3 linked regions of the Drosophila melanogaster genome follow. The protein of the gene in region 1 interacts with the protein of each later gene in a pairwise test. Each region holds a gene or a part of one and is shown in the gene's direction. Other genes may lie near its edges.

Evidence for each region. The genes of interacting proteins can lie anywhere in the genome.
Region 2: the proteins of Pen (region 1) and CG15646 interact in a two-hybrid assay, tested with the Drosophila melanogaster proteins (one large-scale study listed by BioGRID).
Region 3: the proteins of Pen (region 1) and Map60 interact in a two-hybrid assay, tested with the Drosophila melanogaster proteins (one large-scale study listed by BioGRID).

Annotation. Positions count from the first base shown.
Region 1 is NT_033779.5:10,055,209-10,060,819, forward strand, and holds Pen (pendulin), read left to right. Parts: upstream 1-1,691; 5' UTR 1,692-1,996; intron 1,997-2,413; 5' UTR 2,414-2,488; coding exon 2,489-2,551; intron 2,552-2,612; coding exon 2,613-2,926; intron 2,927-2,990; coding exon 2,991-3,561; intron 3,562-3,638; coding exon 3,639-4,259; 3' UTR 4,260-4,887; downstream 4,888-5,611. Other genes in the region: Cpr31A (cuticular protein 31A), read left to right, coding at 1-664. UniProt on the Drosophila melanogaster protein: Binds specifically and directly to substrates containing either a simple or bipartite NLS motif. Promotes docking of import substrates to the nuclear envelope. Seems to act as a cytosolic receptor for both simple and bipartite NLS motifs.
Region 2 is NC_004354.4:15,667,343-15,672,858, reverse strand, and holds CG15646 (uncharacterized protein), read left to right. Parts: upstream 1-1,829; 5' UTR 1,830-2,075; intron 2,076-3,061; exon of another isoform or gene 3,062-3,408; intron 3,409-3,523; 5' UTR 3,524-3,564; coding exon 3,565-4,797; 3' UTR 4,798-4,974; downstream 4,975-5,516.
Region 3 is NT_033778.4:9,588,753-9,593,286, forward strand, and holds Map60 (Microtubule-associated protein 60), read left to right. Parts: upstream 1-2,114; 5' UTR 2,115-2,276; coding exon 2,277-2,548; intron 2,549-2,612; coding exon 2,613-3,663; 3' UTR 3,664-3,992; downstream 3,993-4,534. Other genes in the region: clos (closca), read right to left, coding at 1-53, 3,995-4,174, 4,238-4,534; CG1827 (uncharacterized protein), read left to right, coding at 398-510, 564-1,632.

The DNA of each region.
Region 1 (5,611 bases):
TCCCGCTGTACTGAAACAGGTAGAGTTGGAATCTTCGCCGCGCTACGACTTCTCCTACGGCGTTCACGACAGCATCACCGGCGATATCAAAAGCCAGGTGGAGACCCGTGACGGTGGCAATGTTGTGGGATCCTATTCCGTCCTGGATGCCGATGGTTTCAAGCGCACAGTGACCTACACCGCCGACGACATCAACGGATTCAATGCGGTGGTCCAGCGGGAACCGGTTGTCGCTGCCCGCGCAGTTGCTGCTCCAGTGGTTTCCGTCTCCGCTCCAGCTCCAGTTCCCGTCCATATTTCCTCCGCTCCCGTTGCCTCGCTGCCCGCTCCCATCTACTATCCACACCAGCAGGTGTTCGCCCCACAGCAGATTCAACAGGTTGCCGAGCAGCAGGGTGAGGTGGTGGAGTCTCCTGTGGCCCAACAGCCCGAGCTGGAACCCACTCCCATTGACTACAACGAGGGTCAGCAGCAGCAGCAGGAGCAGCAGCAGCAAACCTATCCCCAGGATCAGCAGTTCCCACCCTACTCGCCAGCTGGTCAATCCTCCCCAGCTCCTGACAGCGATGATTCCGACGTGGTGGAGGCACGATCTGCCCCGGAGGCCAGCAGCACCACCACCACCGCTGCTCCAGTTACGGAGGAGAACAAGAAGACGGCCTAGATTGGATTATGAACGGAAATATTGTTGAAATTAATAAGGAAATGAATAAAATACTTCGAGAATACATAAAAAATTGTCTACTAATTCAAATTAAATGTAGTTTAGTTACATTTATAAGCTGATAATTCAAAAGCTTAAATGCGGCGATTTTAATAATTAATTTACCACATTAATTTAGCGGATTACTTCTCAAAGAATCGAAAAACAAACAATTGAAAAAGGGACTAAATCGATTGGCAGCAATCATCTCTAAAAAAAATTTTGTTTATTTCTGACAACCGCATATAAACAAAATGAAAAGAGCATTAACCGGAAATATCTGCGCATTTATTGCATTATTACTGATAATCGAGAGATTAAATGGTATTAGTGCAATGATAACATATTTGCAAGCAAAAAAAAAGAGACAATCAAATTTTATATTTAAAGGTAGACAGATAAAATCAGTACCTTTTATTATCCAATTAAATATTGATTTAGGTGGCTATTTTTTGTCTTATTAAATATGGATAGAGCTTTACATTTTAACACATATTCGTTGAATAAATTAACAACAAAGATTGAACATAAATATTTATGGAAATTGTAATTGAAGCTTTTAAACGTATAGCCTTAATATTAAACATTATTAATATTATATTATTTTAAGATGAAGGTTTTCCTTACAAAAGTAAAGACGAGAAAGTAAAACATAAACATTTGTCATAAACATTTAAATGAGCCCGCGTGGTGTGCAGATTCAGCCGACTTCTATTCAGCTGTTGGCTGAATTTGGCTTGCATGCGCACACGTTCCACGTTCCACAACAACATATTGAAATCCAAAAGCTGCTTCACCACTTGGCAAGCGATCGTTAACAAGTTACACCAGAAATTTATATATACTAAAAAAATAATAAGTTACTTAAAAATTTAGTAATAATTATGTGGATATAAAAAATGTACATTATTTTTCTCTACGCGCCGTTGTCCGAAGTTAACAGCAAGATAACATGCGATATTAGGCACCTACGTTCACACTGGCATCAAATTTCGATAACTGACAAAGATCGATAGCCATCTGCGTTTCGTTCGCCACTAAGGCTTGCTTTTCAAATCAAACGGTAAATTCTGGCGGCGCCAAGCAGGCATTGACTCCAATTTCGCATCGATTACGAGAGTACTGTCTACGTTTGTCTACAGTTTCACCGACACATTCAGCGTGCTAACACGCTCGACAAATTCTCGTGCTCGCGTTTCGTTAGGGAACGATAAAAATTGTGTAAAAATTCAGTAAAGTGAATTTCCATTCGAAAAAGCCAGCACACGCATTCAAAAGGGCAAAGGTACAAAGGTAAGTGCGTGTGTACTCTTTTCTTCCTTTTCGCGGTTTTTCCCACTGCTTTTTACTAGCGTTCATCAATTTGACCGCCTCTTCGTGATCTCCTCTTCTCGTTCCCCTCTTTCCGCGAATCGGCAAATGGCGGCTGCTGCAGCTGTTGCCAACCAAAGGCGTAGTTCTTAACTCGCGGGGGCTTGAGCGATTGGGTGCCCCGTTAAAAATAATCTTGTAAATTAGTTGGCTTATGTTGGCTAACACATAGGAATAACATATCGAGTTGCTGGCCACAAAGAAAACCCCTTTTTTGAACTCATGGTTACGCCCCTGTTGCACGCCGAAAGGAATATAAAAGACAGAGATAAAAAAAAAGAACCCAAGCAGCCCTTGATTCTGCTTCTTCCTGACATTGACTCACATTTTCCTTTTCAGTTTCACACATTTCATCGCAGCAGCAAACATCTAAACTTTTAAAGAAAAAACACAAAACTCAAAAAAAAAAAAAAAATGAGTAAGGCGGATTCTAACTCACGACAGGGCTCCTACAAGGCCAACAGCATTAACACGCAGGTAATGTACACAAGATCCTCCGCAGAACTGCGTTCGGAACTAACCTCACTTTTTGCCCTAGGACTCACGCATGCGCCGCCATGAGGTGACCATCGAGCTGCGCAAGTCCAAAAAGGAGGACCAGATGTTCAAGCGGCGCAACATCAACGACGAGGATCTAACGTCGCCGCTCAAAGAGCTCAATGGCCAGTCGCCGGTGCAGCTGTCCGTGGACGAGATAGTGGCGGCCATGAACAGCGAGGATCAGGAGCGCCAGTTTCTGGGCATGCAGTCTGCCCGCAAGATGCTCAGTCGGGAGCGCAATCCACCCATCGACCTGATGATCGGCCATGGTATTGTGCCCATTTGCATACGCTTCCTGCAGAATACCAACAAGTGAGTAGTGGCTTTAGAATGTTGATGAGAGCATTATTGAATATCCCCTGATTCGCCGCTACAGCTCAATGCTGCAGTTCGAGGCCGCTTGGGCGCTTACCAACATCGCCTCTGGCACATCCGACCAAACGCGCTGCGTTATCGAACACAATGCTGTGCCGCATTTCGTGGCTCTGCTCCAGTCCAAGTCCATGAACCTGGCCGAGCAGGCAGTCTGGGCTCTGGGCAACATTGCCGGCGACGGAGCCGCCGCCCGCGACATTGTCATCCACCACAACGTAATTGACGGAATCTTGCCACTGATCAACAATGAGACACCGCTCTCTTTTCTGCGCAACATCGTCTGGCTGATGTCCAACCTGTGCCGGAACAAGAATCCATCGCCGCCATTCGATCAGGTGAAGCGGCTGTTGCCCGTCCTGTCGCAGCTTCTGCTTAGTCAGGACATCCAAGTGCTGGCCGACGCCTGCTGGGCTTTGTCCTACGTCACGGACGACGATAACACCAAGATCCAGGCTGTGGTCGACTCGGACGCAGTGCCGCGCCTGGTCAAACTGCTGCAAATGGACGAGCCGAGCATTATTGTGCCCGCCCTGCGCAGCGTTGGCAACATTGTGACTGGCACAGATCAACAGGTAGGAAAACAAATGATTTTAATCCTTATTGTTATAACATGCCTGACCGACCTGTTTTTTTTTTTTTTTTTTATTAGACTGACGTTGTAATTGCATCTGGAGGTTTACCAAGGCTGGGACTCCTTCTACAGCACAACAAAAGCAACATTGTGAAGGAGGCTGCCTGGACGGTCAGCAACATCACAGCAGGTAACCAGAAGCAGATCCAGGCTGTGATTCAGGCCGGCATCTTCCAGCAGCTGCGCACCGTGCTGGAGAAGGGTGATTTCAAGGCTCAAAAAGAGGCTGCCTGGGCGGTGACAAACACCACGACATCTGGCACTCCCGAACAGATCGTCGATCTAATTGAGAAGTACAAAATATTGAAGCCTTTTATCGATTTGCTGGACACAAAGGATCCGCGTACCATCAAGGTGGTGCAGACGGGCCTATCCAATCTGTTTGCCCTGGCGGAGAAACTTGGTGGCACCGAGAACCTATGCTTGATGGTCGAGGAGATGGGCGGTCTAGACAAGCTGGAAACTCTGCAGCAGCACGAGAACGAGGAGGTCTACAAGAAGGCCTACGCCATCATTGACACATACTTCAGCAACGGCGACGACGAGGCCGAGCAAGAGCTCGCACCTCAGGAGGTCAACGGAGCCCTCGAGTTCAATGCCACCCAGCCCAAGGCTCCCGAAGGTGGCTACACGTTCTAATCGCCCACCCCACACATTCCAAACTCCGCTCACACGCCTTACAAACAACTACACCTTCGACCGCGCTCACACACTATGCCATTGTCAAACATACGCATACTCATCATCACATCTTACAAACATTCCCAAACACTTTGGAGGTATGCATGGAAACACAGGCGAATGCATTAGCTTAAAGTCATAATTGAATCGGGTTGGCAAAATCCACTCGCATGAATCCCCATTTAACATACCCGTATTCCTCGCGTTAGACTAGACTTCACAGATTGCAGCATGGATCTTTCTGGCAGTGTTCCTCGTTCACGATGCAACCGCTCGGGCAGCTGCGCTGGCTGGGATCCGTGGATCATAGTATTTCCAGAATCCGTCTGTACAGGGGGCACCTTATGTTTGCGTGTACTAGGCTTTTTATTGGATACGTTTCGAGCTCATTTCGGATATATTTTAGGCTGTTTAGTATTTATTTATGTATACAGGAAACGCTTTTAATCCTCCACCTTCGCGCAAGCATTACAACAACAACAACAACAACAACAACTCATTCCCTTCACACCAGTGTCCTCATTCCCGAATCGCATGTTTATATTCAAAGTTGTCAATAAATAATGAATTGTTTGAATGATTAATTAAATTTCATGTGTATTTAAGCTGCATTTGAGCATTGCGAAAATTGGAGCCTATTTTTGGGCCTTGGCATTTTTTTTTGTATATTATTTGGAATGCTATTGGGATATACACCGATGCAGGCAATCGAATTTAAAATGTTATCCCTTCGATGCGCTGGCGCCTTTTGTCCGTAAATCCGCGATAAAAAGTCATGCAGTCAATACATGTTTTTTTTTTTGTCTTGTACATTTAAATCGCATTTGGGCCGTAAGCGGATAGCCGGAAGATTAAGAGCTATCTACCGCAGCCACGCCCACTCGAGCAGCGGTGGACAGCGACCCCAAAAAAGTTCCAGATTAGATATAATGATTAAACAACCGACGAGTGAGTAGTGAGTAGTAGTCTACTACTGGCACAGAACGCGCACCACGCACAACTCAATCAAGATGAATCGCAGCGTTCGTGGTTATTGCAGTGATCCAGAGGGTAAGCTTAATCAGTGGAGCGACGACGTCACATCAACAACCATGTCCACGTACGATCTTGTTCCCATCGGATGCAGTGCGTCGAATTCGGCGAATCGTGTGTGTGTGTGGCAAAACAAATTATAAAAATAGATTAAAAATTCAGCATGGGCAAAGTAGTTGCCGAAAATTCGAACTGAATTGTGGAAGCATTGGCCGCCATCCGGAGCTTTTGCCTCCGCGTTGCCCAAATTGTCGTCACCGATGGATCGGATCTATGTA
Region 2 (5,516 bases), on another chromosome or scaffold:
TTCAATGCCTGTTACTAGAATAATCCAGTTAACTGAAGTTTCCGCATAATCTTAATAAAATATGTGCCCATAAATCTAAACTAATGTATATCCTTTTCCTCTCTGTGCAGGATCCCATTCCGCTGGCCATCGTTGGAGAAACGTGCGGCGGCAAGGACATCTAGATAAAGTGAAAAGTGGGTAGGGAAAAGGTAATCTTGAATCACAAGCCGCACACTGATAGCGCCAGGACAGAGCGGCCGAGTTTTGAGGAAATCCGAGGAATCACACATAGGGACCCACAATGCACAATCCTTGGGCCGGACAGCTGTTCGCTCGGGGATTAGCACGGCTAGGCGAGCTCCTCTGCTCCCTCACCTTCTGCTTCTGCTTTCTCTCATTACTTTCGCCGGCGGGGCGCGCAAAATTATTAAAACCTGGCCCTGAATTATGGGCCATAATTTAGAATTTGTATTTGCTCAGAGCTTCCCTCTGGCTCCTTCGTCCTTCGTCCTTCTTCCTTCGATTTCCACTGCTTTCCCTTTTCTTCCGCTTTCCCACTCGATATGCCTGGCGGGCAATGGCAGGGGGTGGGGTTTGGTATTGGTGTGTCTGTGTGTGTTCACAGGACCCAGATCCTTTGATTGATTTGGGATCGCCGTGAAAAGCTGGCATCCATTGACAGGCAGGCACTTCAAGGACCAGAGGCTCTCGGATCGGCTTATTTGCCCAGGATCATGCGAAATGCCATGGAAAAGGATCTGCAGATCAATAGGTGATGCGAAACACAGGGAATAATTGGATCTGGCTAGGGAAGACTATATGGCGTATTGTTTAGACTGATTCTATTGTCAGTGCCTTGAATTTGGTATTTCGCAGCCTTAAATATTAAACATATTCGATTAATTCATAAATGATCAAAGTCGAAAGCATCAAGGATAAGTAATTTTGCATAAGGAAACTGCTTTTAAAGTTCTCATTAAAATATAGTATATATTTTCAGACTTACCGAATCCGCAGGATATAATTCTAAAAGTCACTCCTGACATCTTGCCAAACACTTCCCAAAATCAAATCTCAATCAATTTCGGAACATGTATATCAATCGCACAAATGATGATGGCCCAATGGAAGGTCCCTTGTGGGCCATTAATATTATATATGCCGATCGTTAGCCGGAGCATTTGTCAAGCATTATACGATGGAAATCCAAACTTGACAAATGCCAAGTGAAATGCCATGTGAGATGAATTGGAATGCAAAGCATTCGATTTCAATATCAACCCGATCGCTCCCGCTCCGGGGGGTGGGACGAGTTCAAATTGCCGGGCTAGTGGTGGTGCTACACTAGGTTTTCAAGTTCAGTCCAAGGGAATGTCCTTTCCGAGTCCCGAAATTCCTCAGCAGTCAACAGGGGAGAGAAATCGGGAGAGCGAACGAACGGCAATCTCACCTTCAATATTGAAAGGTGCTGTTGAAAAGGTGGTGGTTCCATTAGTACACTGTCAAAAAAGACTGTAGTTCAATACTTTTAAATGAACTAAAAATATGTAATAATCAACTATGATATATATTTAGGATATATTTCATTTGTATACAAAATTCCTAAATGTTATCTTTATGTGTGCATAAAACAAATTCGTAAATAGTTATCAAAATCTGTTTCAAATAGTTGGGTATCTTCTCATTCAAAAATCTGTAATACATTTAAAATATTTTGTATAGCTGGTCCCAAAGTACAACATATTTGTTTTCAGTGTGCCTCGTGAGACCGGGTTTCAAGCTCTGCGAGGTGAGCACGCAACGTTTGCGTGCGAGGGTAGAATTAGTCACTTTTCGTCTGTTGCAGCGACAGGACGTGTATTTCTCTGCGATCGCGAGCAGGAAATAAATTTCAAAATTTACAATTTTGATTTCCCAACACCCGTCTCGTTACGCCTATTTTCATTTTTTTTTTAAACGTGCAAAGAAAAAATACCACAAAATTTTATATTATTTTTCATTGTGAAACGAAGCAATTTCTGAACTTTGGATACCCCAAAAAAAAAAAAACGAAGAACGCGAAAAATTCCAAAAAAATATATACAAATAAAAAGGTAAAGATAAGTGAAGTGCATGAAATGGAAAACGAAAAGCCAGTGTGCATATTTTCGGGCTAAATGTGCATTAAAAATGCATTAAAGCAGAAGTGTCTGGGGCAGCGGGGTTTAATTAAAAACACCCCATTAAAATCGCCTAAAAACGTATAAATTGTGCGCGTGCGATTTTGGGTTATGTTTTGCTGGGTTTTAGCTCCTGCGTTTTGGTTTTGAGCTTGGGCAATGGGATATGGGCAATGGGCTATGGGTTAATGGGTTTTCGAACTCGGGCCACTTGGCCCAAGTGCTCGAGTGCTCTTCAGACCAAAACGAGAGCGGCGGCTGCAAAATGCGCAAAAATGCTAGCACGCACGTACATATCCCGGAATCGAGTAGATGAGCGAAATCGCTCACTCCTGCGGATCCCCCCTTATCGCCATCACTCCTCGAGTGGCCGGAGATCGACACCACTGGAGGATGGGGCAGAGGAATGGGAGTAGGACGAGGCAACAGAGTGTGCCGGCAGCACCACCATTTTGCCCAAGTTCACACGGCAAAAAATATATATGTTCTCCCAGCCACACTTTTTTTATCACTTGAATCTTCAGTCTCAAAATCATGCAGCTCAACAAATTTACTATTCAAAATGAATAATAATTATATTAGTAACTTTCTTGGCGAACTTAGTTCCCAAAATTTCTATTGATTTGCAAATTTAATGAAATGGTATATTGGACCGCTAATTTCTAATTTGACTATCAAGGGCTTTGCTTAAATATTTTATTTTTATAGTAAAGAATGTTGTAAACATTTTTCATTTCTATTGAAATTTGAATAGCTTATTGCTTTTATAATTTAATCGGGTACTAAATCTGGAACCAATTTTAATATCTTCTTTATTGTAACAAAGCCATTTAGATGCCAAATAATTCCCCAGATTCTGAAATTATTTGAACAATAGTTCAATCAGTTAAAAAATAATATAAATAAAATGTATAGATATTCCGATTTTTGCGCATAAATCCCCAAATTCCTGCCTGATTTTGGGTGATAATTTCTCCCTGTGCCGGCACACCACCCGAGCACACGATACGCGAGGCAGAACCTTGGGCTAAATCGCAGCTGGAGGGCAGTGCGTTGGTATGGCGAACAGGAGCGAACCGGAGGCCCAGAAAATCGCGAAGCTTTAGCGCGCTTTTCCTTTGTTCCCGGGCTCTTTGTGCCGGCTCAATTGTTCGCAAGGATATGCGGAACCAGAAACTCCTTGCGGAAATCGGGAAGCTGGCGTTCAGCTGTGCGAATCCTTGGCGAAATCCCAAGCAGGCCCCTGTGCAAACTCGTTTCGCTACAAGTTAGTCGGGTTTTTGCTCTGTTTTTGCTTTTTTTTTTTGCAATTCCATTCTGCTTGAGAAGCTTTGCAAATAGACAATCGCTAACTAGCCCTATCCTTTTTGCCACTTTTCCAGATATCTTGGCACCGCAGGAGCGACAGACAGCAGCTGCCAGGATGCTCAAGTGGGCTGTCAACCAGCCGCGAAACTCGTATCTGGCCAAGGAGCTGGCCATGGGATCGCAAACAGGATCGGAATCGGGATCGGGATCAGGATCTCTCGAGCAGAAGGCCGAAGTGGTGGGCTCCAGCTACAGCGAGTTCCACGCCCTGCGTGGCAAACTCAAGAGGAAGTCGATCGGAGTGGCGCCAGGCAAGGAGAACCAGCTGACCTCCACGCCGCTGCCGGCCAGCTCCTTGAGCCTCCATGCTCGCACACCACTGCTCAAGGACCTCAGCAACATCCTGGCCACGCCGCCATCGGGAGGAGCAAGTGGCGCTAGTGGGGCAACTGGAGGAGCAGCTGCTGTTCCCCTGAAGTTCGCCTGCACACTGCCCACCTTCGAGGCGGAGTACTCGCCCAATGCCGCCATCATTCCTGGCTCCCTGATCGCCCTGCGCGGCATGGGCATCCCGGACAGCTACTTCGAGAAGCCGCGCTACCTGGAGCAGAAGCCACTACCACATCCGCATCCCCATCCGCATCCAGCTCCTCCGATCGGCGAACAGAATACGCTCAGTTCCAGCCAGATGGGCGATGTGACCCTGGAGCGTATGATCGATGCCATCCTCGAGAGCAACCGCAAGGTGCTGCCCAACGCCAGACAGCAACAGCACCAGCATCAGCACCGCCAGCCCAGGCAGCATCTCCGCCAGCGGCACAGGCTCAGGCAGCAGGTGCTCCGGAGCAGCCACGGACACGGGCACGGGCACGGCTCCACCCAGACGCCATCGCCCACCTACCGCCCCGCCTTCGATCCGGCCAGCGATCTGTGCGAGTACTGGAAGTCGCCCTCGCGGAGGGATTCCCTGCCAGCGGAGGGCTTCGAGGAGCGGGAGGTGCGCTCCCCCGTGCCCACCGAATCCGAATCGCAGGATGCCAAGCGGCATTCCCTGCAGCTGCGCAGGCAGCGGGTGGTGCGGCGCAAGCGAAAGATCACCACCAAGATCTCCTCCAGCGTCAGGCAGTCGGCGCAGAAGCTGCTCGCAGCGGCCAGGTCCGGATCTGCAGTGCCCAGCCAGCGGTTCGCCCAGAAGAGGCGCCACATTAGCCCGGACAGTGGGCACAACTCGACCAGCGATTTTGAGGAGGAGCTGGTGGCCATGGGATCATGCGGCGGGCGGGTGGAGGCGGTTACCAAGCGGCGGCTGAGCTTCTCCTACGCCGAGGATCTGTTCGTGGAGAAGTGACCCAATGCGGGTCATGTCCATATGTTGATTTTTGACTTCTGTTTGGTTATAACCTAAACCTTTTTTTTTTTTTTGAGTGGCTAAAAGCGCAGCATTGCCTTGGAATACGAATGTTGAAACAGATCCTATAATTACCTAAGAATCCTTTTTTTTTCTGACAAATAAAAAACCGATTTGAAAAACTAGTTGAATTGCGAATTTATTATTCCTAATATCCTAAAAAAGGAAAGTTCGATTTGTTACCATTAAATATGAACATTTAATTCTTAAAAGGATGTAAAGATCATTTTGCCGCGTAAACGCAATTGGGTCCTTGTTAGCGTTAGATAAGTACAACCATTAATTAGAGATAAACTGTCTTCTACGTGGGGATTACTTGGCAATATTTCAGAGGCAATATTCTAGAGTTGAAGTTAAACTGGATTCTCACGTTCCGCCCATGAATTCATCACCGTCGACCTTTCATTTCCAACCGGCGAGCTGGCAGGATATGCTGGATAATATGCACTGAGCTAGAGGGTGCGGGAGTAACAGTTGTGGTAGTAAAAATGTTGCGGCATATCCTGCGAGTCCTTTACACGGCACTTATCACGCACCTGTGCACCACCAAATGGCGAACCACCAACAACTACAAACGACAAACGACAGGCTACAAAACGGTGGGCATTTGCATAAATTTGCATAGAATCGACCAAATTGTACGGTCAACGGCTTGTATC
Region 3 (4,534 bases), on another chromosome or scaffold:
CTCCTCATTGATTGGATTCAAGTTTGTCTTGTTTAGTTGTGTCAGTGCTGTGCCTACAAAAAGGAAAGCAGTGTTTTATAGATGTGTCCGTGGAATACTCTTCCTATAATTCCACTCCAAATATAGGCTATACGGATAGGACTTTATCGATATTAATAGGTGGTTTTTTGCCTATATCTTAATCTATGTTGAAACATTTTCAAGTTTTAAAATATTGCTTAAACCAATTTGAAAATGTGTACGACTCTTTTAGAGGGTATATCAAAACAACAGATAAGAAAGCAAAACAGTGAGGTTAGACTGCTAGCATTTAAAAGCAGAACTCGACCATTTTCCGGCAGAACAGGGACAGATTGTGATACACCAAGACTTCTCGTAGAGACCATTACGATTAACCATGAGAAGGCACTTGCGGGCAAGTCTTTGGATCCTTTGTTTGGCCACCATGGCGTTTTCCATCCTTGCGGCAGTAAATACTTCGCCCAAACCAACGCTGACTTCGGCGTTTAGGTGAGCAGCGCATACAGCGTATTCTTTGTTCGCTAAGATCCGCCCCTTTGCAGTGGAAAAGCTGGCACCACTGCCGTGAAGGCGAATAAGACGACGGGTGAGCTGCTGCCCATGGTCATTAACACTTGGAACTTCACGGCTGCCAATGTGCTCGCCTGGCGAATCCTGAAGCAAAGCAAGGGTGGACTCCGGCAGACGCGGAATGCGGTAGTGGAGGGCTGCTCGAAGTGTGAGAAACTCCAGTGTGACCGAACGGTGGGCTATGGCGGATCGCCGGACGAGTTGGGCGAAACCACACTGGATGCCATGGTCATGGACGGGGCCACCATGGATGTGGGGGCAGTGGCTGGTCTGCGACGCATTAAGGATGCCATTAAGGTAGCCCGGCATGTTCTGGAACACACGCAGCACACCATGCTGGTGGGTGATGCGGCGTCAGCTTTCGCCAATGCTATGGGATTCGAATCAGAGTCGCTGGTCACGCCGGAGTCGAAGGACATGTGGTTACAGTGGACGGCTGAGAACTGCCAGCCAAACTTCTGGAAGAACGTTCACCCGGATCCCAAGGTCTCTTGCGGCCCGTATAAGCCGCGGCCGACTCCGCTGACCCGCTGGAAGGAGGACCGTGCCCGCAATGAGTATGAGATCGGACGCAAGAACCACGATACCATCGGCATGATCGCCATCGACGTGGAAAGCAACATCCACGCCGGCACCTCCACCAACGGGGCGCGGCACAAGATTCCCGGACGGGTCGGCGACTCCCCCATTCCGGGTGCTGGCGCTTATGCAGACAACGAGGTGGGTGCAGCCGTGGCAACCGGAGATGGAGATGTGATGATGCGCTTCCTGCCCTCCCTGCTAGCGGTGGAGACCATGCGGGCGGGAAAACCTCCGGCTGAGGCAGCTCAAGAGGGCCTTCGCCGCATTCTCAAGCACCACAAGGATTTCATGGGTGCTCTCATCGCCGTAGATCGGCTGGGTAATTATGGCGCTGCCTGCTACGGCCTGGCCGAATTCCCCTTTATGGTTAGCAGTCCAGCCGGAGCGGATGGGCCTACGCGCTTGGAAACGGTCAAATGCATAGGTGGTCAGGACAAAGTAAATATCGTGGCGTTGTGAGGTGGCGAAAACTGTAACGTATTTCAATAAAATTTAAATTTCGTGGAGTTCTCATCTGCAATATAAATTGCGTTATTTGTTTGTCCCTATCGGCAGCAAGATAGACGGGTAGTTTTACCGTAAATTAGCGGTATTAAGAATTATCGATATGTAAGGATCCTTACATAAAATAAATAAATAAAGTATGAGAATAGAATAGAAAAAGACAAAACAAAAACCATTCCTTCGATAGTTATGACTACCAAAATGAATAACTTTTCCTTATGGAGAAACATTATAATTGTTATATAAGTAAAAATAATGCAAGTATTAATATTTATAGTGATAAATATAATATATAAAAATTTAATTTTCACTGCATCGAGAGCTGTGAACTGTGAACATCTATGTTGCCAAAATCTCCCTCATCCCTAAGTTACTGTACCAAAAGGCGGCATTTCTAGTATTTGCGTGTTGCACGGTCACATTTTCCGCCAATTTACCGACGCCAAATACAGAAGAAAAGAGAAGCGAACGGTGCGAAAGCGGAGAGAAAAACAAGCGGATCCTAGTTACATATACCAATTCGTGTGTCGCGTGTTATCAAAACAGCCTCCAAAATTATCAGGAACGCGCAACCAGCGGGCCGCAAGTCGCTGACTAAGATGGCAATCCAACTGGACAAGATTCTGCAGGACATCGCCAAAGAAAAGGTGCTGCATCCAAACAATGGCGGCGCCAGCAAGCAGGAGCAGGAGGAGGCGTGGGCCAGGATCGGGCGTCTCAACAAGCTCTCTGTGCACGAATCGCGCTCCATCTTCATAGTGCTCCAAAAGAAGTACGAGCAGGAAAAGCTAAAGGGCAATTCGGCGTGGAAGCTCTTCAGTCTGATGCATCAGATCCATCAGGAGCCTAAAATCTCAATCAAGGAGGAGAAGTAAGTGGCGTAAATAGTCCTCTAACCGTGAAACACTAACAAAATTTCTACTGCTATTCTGCAGTGATCAAGTACCCATGGAGGAGGTGGAGGAGTACGAAATGCTGGAGGTGCAGGAGCCTGAGGACGAGGATGACGCCCATCAGTACGGACAGCACACCAACTCTACCGGCTCGGCGTCCTCCGACGGCGAAAGCCCCACAAAGTCACACAGCACCGGTTCGCCAGAAAAGGACGAGCGGTTGGCGTACGCCAAACCCAACGTCGACACTCCTCGCCCAGCCATCGAGGAGAAAAAGCTGCTCAACACACTGGCTAACAACACACCGCGAAGTAGCTCGCTGTCCGCCGCCGCAGCAGTACTGCAAAAGAAGGGAATTACTGTGAAGAAGACGCCCAGCTCCGCAGCAGCACCGAAACCGGCTATTGGGCAACAGGCGCCAGCCAGTGGGCAAAGATCAAGCTCCTCGCGCACCACCATTCAGCTGCCAGATTCTTTGAAGCGCAAACTTTCGGAGGAGTACACCTCGTCATCGGCGCAAAAAAAGCAGACCAAGACCACGAGCCCGAAACAAGCCGCTTCATCGGCAGCCGCAACTTCAGTGCACACCAGCGTTCCAGATCAACTGCCGGCGGGAAACAATGTGGTGCACACAACCACTGCCCAGCTGATGCAGGTTAAGAAGGAGCGTGAGGACAACCAGACACCACCGCCGGGTATCAACATCATCACCATTCCATCGGCACAACAGATAAACGGTGGTGGTGGGGGAGCGAACTCATCGACAGCCGCCACCATTGCTTCCACCTCGGTGGCTTCCACAAACGGCTTTTCGCCACACATCGACGAGCTGGACTTTAAGAATGACATTATCTTCGGGCCGAAGATCAACGCCGCCTCCTCCAATACACCCGAGATTATCAACCTGGGCAACTTTGACAACTCGCTGCCGCCAACCTTTTTCAAGAATCTATGCAACTCGTCGCGACACGAGTCTCTCGGGCTGTACGTGGCCAATGTGATGAACAGACTCTCTTCGCGTGCCTCCGCCAAGCTGGAGCTGTCCATCTTGCGCGCCATCCTCGATGTGCAGAGCGACGAACTGGAGCAGTAGACCGACTGATACTCGCAATTTAAATGATTACTCAGCTTACTTATTAGACAAACTAAAAAGGTAGTTATGTAGTAGGCCTGTCTGAACCATTTCTCGTATTTATCGTATTATTTTTTCCGTGTTCAAACGTCTGCGTTCTGTGCCGCCCACTTGTAAAATGTATTTACTCACAGTTCTGGTATGAGTGTTCATAGCATTTACGCATGAATTTTAAAGCTAAATTTAAAATGTATTTCTAATATTTGAGATTTCGAATTTGTCCCTATTTAAGGTTGAATATGCTACTTGATTTTAAAATACGTTTATATGCAAATAAATCTACATAACTTACTTGAACTTCGCCCAAAAAGATGTATATCCGGTTGCCATGTGTAAGTAGTCCCTACTTCGCTGGGCATCTGCTCCCAGATGGCCAGTACGTCCTCGTTGTCCACGGAGATGATCTTCATGTGCGAGGCCTTATGAGGTAATTTCTGCAGCACAGCAAAGCCTTCCAGCACTTTAGGCGGCTCTGTTGGTTGAATTTAATGCACATGACTAAAGGAGAATTTGTATTAATGTGTTTTTAACATACTGGCCAATCTGTTTTTAATAGCTGCCACATTTTCCTGCAGCTGCTGCCAATCATGAATGTCATTCGATTCGACACCCCGCTTTTTCTTGTAATATTTATCCAGCAGCCCATTTCCGTTGCCCGCTTCGTAGTGACCCACAGTGAGGGGCTGGGTGAAGATCAGTTGGCTTTCCACGTGAAGATTGGGACGGTTTTCTGCCTTGCTGACCAGTAACTCGTTAACGGGCAGATCGTTGACGAAATCCACCCAGAGATTCTTCACATTATTGCTCATAACTCGCTTCTGTTCGGGAAGAC